Cricetulus griseus: one gene and its partner. The protein of the gene in region 1 interacts with the protein of each later gene in a biochemical or structural test. Links are inferred from orthologs where the notes say so. Each region holds a gene or a part of one and is shown on either strand. Other genes may lie near its edges. The genes, in order: Ipo13 and Magoh.

Region 1 (3,811 bases):
CCAAAATTGTGCTGACTCGGCTATGTGTGGCACTGGCCTCACTGGCTCTCAGCATGATGCCTGACGCTTGGCCATGTGTGGTGGCAGATATGGTTCGGCTCTTCCAGGCTGAGGACTCTCCGGTGGATGGCCAGGGCCGTTGTCTGGCCCTGCTAGAGTTGCTGACAGTACTGCCCGAGGAGTTCCAGACTAGCCGCTTGCCCCAGTACCGCAAAGGTCTGGTGCGGGCCAGCCTGGCTGTGGAGTGTGGGGCTGTCTTTCCACTCCTGGAGCAACTGCTACAACAGCCCAGCTCGCCCAGCTGTGTGCGTCAGAAGGTGCTCAAGTGCTTCTCCAGCTGGGTGCAGCTGGAAGTACCTCTGCAAGACTGTGAGGCGCTCATTCAGGCTGCCTTCACTGCACTGCAGGACTCAGAGCTCTTTGACAGCAGTGTGGAGGCCATTGTCAATGCCATCTCCCAGCCTGATGCCCAAAGGTGAGTTTGTCTCCAGCTTCCCACAGAGTGACACCCCACCCATCCACTGAACATTACTGCAGTGTCTGTATCCTATACTGGATACAGTGCTTTATTCTATGCTGGAGACAGAAACAAGGATACAAATGAGACATGGTCCCTGTCCTCATGGTTGAGAAAGCGGGGCAGACATCAAACAATTAATTATCTGGTAGACTGTTAAAATATTTGCCTCCTCTCTTTCCCTCAGCCATTCGCTAAGTCCTGGCTGTTCTGCTCCTGACCATATTGCAGATCGATTATTTTCAGTTTTTGCTGCCACCCTAGTCCCAGCTGTCATCATTCCCAGATTTTAGCAGAGCTTTTTCATCAGTCTCCTGCTTTTTGTCTCTTGTACCCTTCGTCATCCCAACAGTTAGAGTGACCTCTGAAAATGAGGGTCTAATCTTTCCCTTCTGACCAACAGCTTTCCTCTGTATTTAAAGTTCAGAGTCATGAATCTAACTCTTAAAGGTGCCTGCCCAAAGAGGCACACACCAACTTCATTTCATGTCACTCTCTTGACTTCCTACCTTCCTATGTTTCTAGACTGTTCTTTTCTGCTCCCTCCAACCCCTGAACAAGTGCCCGGCACATCACCTCCCCTTCACCTTAAATTTCATCTCACTTCCATAGAGAAGTTCCCAAGGGTTCTTCAGACCAACCTTTGTCTTCTCTACTGTATTCTTTCAGCACTCTTAGTAATATTCCTGGTTTTCCTTCTTAGCCTGTAATGTGATTCCTATATGAATCAATGTGCATCTCCCCATGAGCCCCTCATCTGTCGTTTTACTCTATCTCATTGTGCCTGGGAAATGGAGTATCCACCAATTTCTGAATGGATAAAAAAAATGGGAGGGTTGGAGGTAGAGGAGATTGGGTGAGGAGAGGTGCTTCTAGCTTCAGGAACCACAACAGGTACAAAGCCCCGGAGTGGCCAATGCCACAGCACATTTCAAAGGCCAGAGAGAAGGTGAAGGCAGGGAGTTGTGCATTTGTCAAACATCCATCAGGGACATGCTGTATTGGGCCAGGTGATGAGCACTTGGAGCACATAGGTGAAGGCTTTAGCTCATGTCAGCTACTCACAGAGGGATGAGCACATAAGTAGGCATCTACCGTCAGCTACCATGCAATGCTGATGGAGAGGGCAGAAGCTCTAGGAACCCAGTGGAGGCTCCTAACCCCGTCTGAGGTGTGTGAAAGCCTGCCTAAAGGAAGTGATAGCCAAACTGTACTTGGAAAGTTAGTCAGATGCTGCTGATGGATTTGGAGAGAACATTCCAGACAGATGGAAAGTACCCAGGCACGGTGAAAGATGTGAAGGAATTAGTGGTGACTTGTAAACCTTTAGGTATGATTAGATAGCAGGATTTAAAGGTCAGACTAGTAGGAGGAGGACCAGGTTCAAATCATGTGGGACCTGTTAACTAGTCTTAGATTTTTTTTTTCATCCTGGGGCTGGTATAAAGCTACTAAAGGATTTTATGCAGAGAAAATGGTCTATTGAGATTCTTTTGGGTGTAAGTAAGTTGGACTGGAAAAAACAAGACTGAAAACCTGACTCTGGCACTTCAGAGATAGGGTTCTGGGAATCTTGGGTAGACATGGAGGGGAACACCACTGAAAGCTGTGTGGAGGAGTGGCTAACAGCTCTAGCTTTGGCAATAGTTGTGTCTGAGTTTGAATTCCAGAGTTTGTTTACTAAATGTGAGAACCTTGGGTAAACCACTTCTAAGCAAGAATGGAGGCAATCATACAAAACATAAGGAGTAATTGTAATGCTAGAACAGTATGATGTATACAGGGCCAGCCCTTGGTATTGGGTAAGAGTATTTCAATTCCTTGAATGATGGCAGCTCTTTTGTGGCCTTTACTCAGGGTGGGAGATCAGCATCACATATGAGTACATATATGCTATGCATTTGCCATGTGGTTTAAATTGGGGACTGTATGTATAATATTTTTGTCCTTCTACCATTGGTGATCAAGTTTAATGGTAACATTTTTTTTTTAAAAGAGAGAAACAGAGAGCTACTGTTAAACTGATTAAAGCCTGTTGCTTTTAGAATTGGTGGTAAGAAGTAGAAACTGTTACAAACGGTGGACTAGAGTAGAGCTCTCACACAAGCACACATGCACACACAGAGGTAGTGTGTTTAATCACTGTTCTTTAAAACTCTAAAGGCTGTGGATATAGCAAGGCTCAGCAGTACAGTGCTTGCCGAACATGCATAAGCCCCTAGGTTCAATCGCACTACTAAAGACTAAAACCAAAAAGTATTGGTTGAAAACATTTTTTGGTTTGAAGGTTAAATAAAAGAACATGAGATGTTTAATGTGGTTCCCATGTACCCCATATCATCCTGTGTATTTGCTAATATTTGCTGTTATCTTTGCAGGAGCAGTTAGTAAGATACCCCTGGATCCCTAGCATAAGGTGGATACCAAGTCTCAAGTCAGAGCTCTTGTGGCAGCATGAGACTCAAGTGCTGGATGGGCTTAGGTATCAGCTAAAGACAATTATCAGGGCAATTACCAGGGTGACTCGGGGTATCCTTGGATATAGCCAAGTTTACCCACCCAGCCTGTCTCAAGGGCTTTAACAAGTAATTGATGCCCCTTCTCTTCTGAACGAATGAGCAAGCAAGAGGCCAGTGAGGGAACCCATAGCCTCCTGGGCGCCCATTGGTTGCAGCCCCTTAGTTGCTTAGCAACTCTTCCCATTTTCTCAGCTCTGCTCCCAGAGCTCTAATTGTAGGTCTGGGCTGAGCTCAGTGTGAGCGGCAGCCAAGACATCCCCAACAACTCTGCTCCAGCTGCAGGGGCTGACCACCTAGAGCCAGGCCTCTTGAAAGCAGCCTTAACCATGGTCCTAAAGACAATCTCTCAGGCTTCCTTTAGCAAGTCTAGAGACCTCTGAGGCCTCAGGCTTGTTCTGTTTGCTCAGAAGCTTCTAGCATGTGTGGTAGGAAATCTACACAGGCGATTTCCCTATGGGTGGGCTACAACAAGCCAGGAGTTGGCACTGGGGATCTGCTCTGTCCAGGCTAATTTGCTATATTTAGGTTAAGAAAGTCACCTTCAGTGACTGATTCCTGGGTAATCCAGACTCTGCCTTCCCCAGGTGTCCTGATAGTAGCAGTCTTCCCTCCAGCTCAGCTTGTTCCTGCTTCCAAGCTCTCTCCTTTGAATTTTTCCCCTGAAATACATTTTTTGTGTGTTTTTCAAGACAGGCTTTCTCTGTGTAACCCTCACTGTCCTGGAACTCACTCTATGGATCAGATTGGCCTTGAACTCAGAGATCCACCTGCCTCT
Region 2 (4,573 bases), about 7.5 Mb from region 1:
GCAAACCCAATGCTAGGAACTATATCAAACACTGTAAATATATTTAATTCTGTGATAGTACTTAGGAGTAAAAGGTAGGTTTTATTATCCCTCATTTTGCAGATGGAAGTATAGTGACCAAGTTTAGCCAGGGAACTTATCTGAGGTCACATGGTCAGTATGGAGCATATTGAGGGTTCAAACCAACACAGAGATTTCAAAAAGTTGCTAGTTATTAATTCAGCAATCCAAATAAATAAATAAATAAATAAATAAATAAATAAATAAAAAACATGCAAACCAAAGATGTGAGAAATAATCTAGCCGTGTAGAAATAGTGCTTAGCTGGGTGTGATGGAGCACACCTTCAAACCCAGCTTGGGAGTTTCAGGATGGCCAAGGCTATACAGAGAAACCCTGTTTTGAGAAACAAAAACAAAAAACCAAATAGAAAACAAAGAAAAAGAAGTATTTGTTTCTCCACTCTTTACTTTTCATTACTATTACCAGAGAGCGCAGAAACAATGTAAAGGGCTCACTGGTAGTGAAGGACAGGGTCCTACCTCTTTTCTGATCATGACATCATTTTTGTAATTGCTGTTGTTGGCATATCGAAGTTTTCCTGTGGGGCAAATAAATAAATAAATAAATAAATAAATAAATAAATAAATGCAATTTACAACAAAACATCAACTCAGTAGCCTACTAACAATACCAACTTTGCCTAAATTATATCCAATTCTCTCTCTTGGCTGTCCTGGAACTCGATCTGTAGACCAGAATGGTCTCAAACTTACAGAGATCCACCTGCCTCTGCCTCCTGAGTATTGGGACTAAAAGTGTGGGCAACCACCGCTGTAGCCGGCATTATATTCAATGTTCAACCCAATTCACAGCTATTATATTAGTCTTTACAGTGCTCCACTTTAAATTATGAAACAGCTGAAGACTAACCTGACACTGAAATAGAGTTCAGGCAAAAGTTACTTTGATTTGGCAAAAGAACACAGGCAGGCTCTTTTACGACTCTGGCAAATAGCTTTTCAGCAGGTCAATGATCTCAGCTGTAAACAGAAATGATAATTGCTAAGTTCCCTGCACAGAGAACATGCTGAAAGTATTTTGAAAACGGTAGGAAGCGACATACACATGCCCATGTGGTCTTGTGGTATGATCTATTTCTGCATACTTTTAAATTGAGCACATTTGGTTCATAAGTCCTTCTGTGCATGAGTACAACCACCAGGCTAGTTTGGGTATATAGTGTCATGTGGCAGAAAAAAACAGGGAACTTTGGGGAGAAGCATCTAATTTAGTCTGACTGTCTGAGCAGGTTTCATGCATAAAGTGACTTAGGTGGGTGGAATATAGGAAGAATGTGAAGTGTAGGTGTGGGCTAAGGGACCAAGAATAGAGAAGATGGTGTTTTGGACCAAATTCACATCAAAGACACTGGAAACTAAAAAGTGCTTGGGATGTTGCAGGCAGAAACAAAGTAGTGTGGGCAGAGTATTGTAGGGTTGAAAAGGCAGACAGGAACTCAGCTTGGCTGTATGCCATGGTAAGGGGTTTGAATTTTGTCAGGAAGGCAGAGGGAAGTTATTGACAGTATCAGAGAACTACAGTCATCTAATTACACAGGCCTCTTGCTACATGTTCTTGTCCATCTTATAGAGAACTAACTGAAAAAGGGAAAGATTTGAGTAGAATTGTCCTTGCCTCCTCACCACACCACAACCGTCCCAAAATATTATCAATCAGATACATTCAGATCGTCTCCAACAGTATCCTAAGTCTTCTCCACGTCTATAGTCCTAGCTGTCCTAGTCCCGACCGCCATCTCATGTCTATTCTGTGTCCAAGCGCTAGGATGCTTTCTGAAGATCATCACACCTTTTCTCTTATAAGCTTCAAGCTGTTTCCTGCTGCTCCTATTTATGGTCTACAAACACCTAACATCATCTCCTACTGGTTTCCCTAGAATTCTGTCCTTCAGTCACCTCAACGGCCATCTGAAACATGCCTGGTTCTTTGCTGTCCTATGACCTCTACATTTGCCACTCCGATAGAAGACTTTTCTTCCTGAGCTTCACAAACTGACTGGTCCCTTCTCGATTCCGGCTCAATTCAAATACCCACTGTTCAGAGTGCTCTCGAAAAAGAGACCCTATTTTCGGATCACTCCTCACTACAGGAGATCACTGTTTATGGTTTCTCCCAGTACCTAAACACATGTTCCACGAGAGGGGAAATTTATCTTCGTGGCTCTGTCCCCAGAGTGGAACACGGCCCGGTGTAAGATGGACATTCAATCAATCTTTGTTGAAACGTTAACAACCTGGCTTTTTAAAGCCACTAAGAAGCCGGGCGTTGGTGGTGCATGCCTTTAATCCCAGCACTCGGGAGGCAGAGGCAGGCGGATCTCTGTGAGTTCGAGGCCAGCCTGGTCTCCAGAGCGAGTAGGCTGCCAGGACAGGCTCCAAAGCTACACAGAGAAACCCTGTCTCGAAAAACCAAAAGAACCCAAAAGTTACTAAGGAGAAGCTCCAGCGTATGGACAGAAAGGACCAGTGAGGCCGAAAGAAAAGACTACGCCTTTCACAACCCAAGAGCTCCGGTCTCAGTCCCTTCCTTCACAAAAGCCGCGGCCCGGCCTCTCCGCCCTCCCCCAGGTCCCGTTTCCCTTCCTTGTAGGCGGGAGGCCGCTCTTACCGTCAGGTCGGAATTCAAACTCCAGGAACTCATGACCGAACTTGCCTTTGTGACCCACGTAGTAACGTAGGTAAAAGTCACTCTCCATGGCTCACACGGGACAATCAAGACCGAACTTTACGAACAGATCACACTACCACGATCTGCGCCCTCTACTGACGTAACGGCGGCGCGCGGAAGTGACGCCACAACCGCGCCGTTAATAACAGTTTTTTCACCCTTGGGAGGCGGGAACGAGACTACCCCGCCCCCGCGTCCTGCGGCGAGATCCGGATCACCGCTCCTCCTTTCCGGAAATCGAGTGCTTTGCGAGGTCCTGCGCTTCCGTTACGTCCTGGGCTTCCACGGGGCAGCTTTACCTATAGGCTTAGGGCCAACCCTGCGATCTGTAGTCCAGTCAGGCTCAACCGCAATGTAAAGACACACGAAAGAGGCCATTCACACTCTGAACCCAGGTGGTCTCCACAGTAAAATGGGCAAAAAATGGCTCCCCCATCTTTGAGCACGCTGCCCCCTTCCCCACCCCCAGGGTCTGAATCAGGAGTTGCGTTTGAGGGGCAGTGTAGTAGCGAATAGCTGTGGCCTAGCACTCAAAAGCTTAACGCCGCCCAGGAGTCACGAGTTGAGGCTAGAGGCTGCATACTGTAAGACCCTGTCTCGAAAAAGTTCGCTTTACTTTTTTTTTTTTTTTTTTTTGAGACAGGGTTTCTCTGTGGCTTTGGAGGCTGTCCTGGAACTAGCTCTTGTAGACCAGGCTGGTCTCGAACTCACAGAGATCCGCCTGCCTCTGCCTCCTGAGTGCTGGGATTAAAGGCGTGCGCCACCACCAACGCCCGGCTCGCTTTACTTTTGTGTGTTTGTTTTGGGTTTTCCAGACAGAGTTACTCTGTTTAACAGCTCTGGCTGTCTCTTTTAAGAAAACTTTTCCCCGAGCAGTGTTAGTGCACACCTTTAATCCTTAAGGCAGGTGGATGTCTGTGAGTTAGAAGCCAGCATGGTCTACAGAGCGAGTTCCAGGACAGACCCCAAAGCTACAGAGAAGCCTTGTCTCGAAAAACAAACAACACCCCCCGCCCCCCCCCCCCGTTTTCAATGACTCCTTCCCCAATCCACAACGTTGCCTGGAACTTGTCTGCACTGCCAACATCCCCTTCTGCCGTTTGCTTATTTTACAATTTATAGGCAAGGTGCAGACTGACGGGGCACTTGTGACCCTCCTACCTCAACTTCCAAGAGTGTCACCTCTTAGGCACAAGTTGCCTCTCATCTCTCCTGTCTCCCAGGCTCACTGCTGTCTAGGATAGGTGCTGTGGGAGGATGTTAAAGTGGACATTGGATTCCCACTCCCAGATACCTTACCCACAGTGATTCTAAGCCACACACACACACACACACACACACACACACACACACACACACACTGTGGGAGGATGTTAAAGTGGACATTGGATTCCCACTCCCAGACACCTTACCCACAGTGATTCTAAGACACACACACACACACACACACACACACACACACACACACACACACTGTGGGAGGATGTTAAAGTGGACATTGGATTCCCACTCCCAGACACCTTACCCACAGTGATTCTAAGACACACACACACACACACACACACACACACACACACACACACTGTGGGAGGATGTTAAAGTGGACATTGGATTCCCACTCCCAGACACCTTACCCACAGTGATTCTAAGACACACACACACACACACACACACACACACACACACACACACACACTGTGGGAGGATGTTAAAGTGGACATTGGATTCCCACTCCCAGACACCTTACCCACAGTGATTCTAAGACACACACACACACACACACACACACACACACACACACACACACTGTGGGAGGATGTTA

The links.
Region 2: the proteins of Ipo13 (region 1) and Magoh form a complex in vitro, tested with the Homo sapiens proteins (2 studies listed by BioGRID and IntAct). The link is inferred for Cricetulus griseus from reciprocal best matches to the Homo sapiens genes IPO13 and MAGOH.

The regions. Positions count from the first base shown.
Region 1 is NC_048595.1:34,412,172-34,415,982, forward strand, and holds part of Ipo13 (importin-13), read left to right. Parts: coding exon 1-475; intron 476-3,811. UniProt on the Homo sapiens protein: Functions in nuclear protein import as nuclear transport receptor. Serves as receptor for nuclear localization signals (NLS) in cargo substrates.
Region 2 is NC_048595.1:41,959,389-41,963,961, forward strand, and holds the start of Magoh (protein mago nashi homolog), read right to left. Parts: upstream 2,875-4,573; 5' UTR 2,780-2,874; coding exon 2,692-2,779; intron 602-2,691; coding exon 543-601; intron 1-542. UniProt on the Homo sapiens protein: Required for pre-mRNA splicing as component of the spliceosome. Plays a redundant role with MAGOHB as core component of the exon junction complex (EJC) and in the nonsense-mediated decay (NMD) pathway.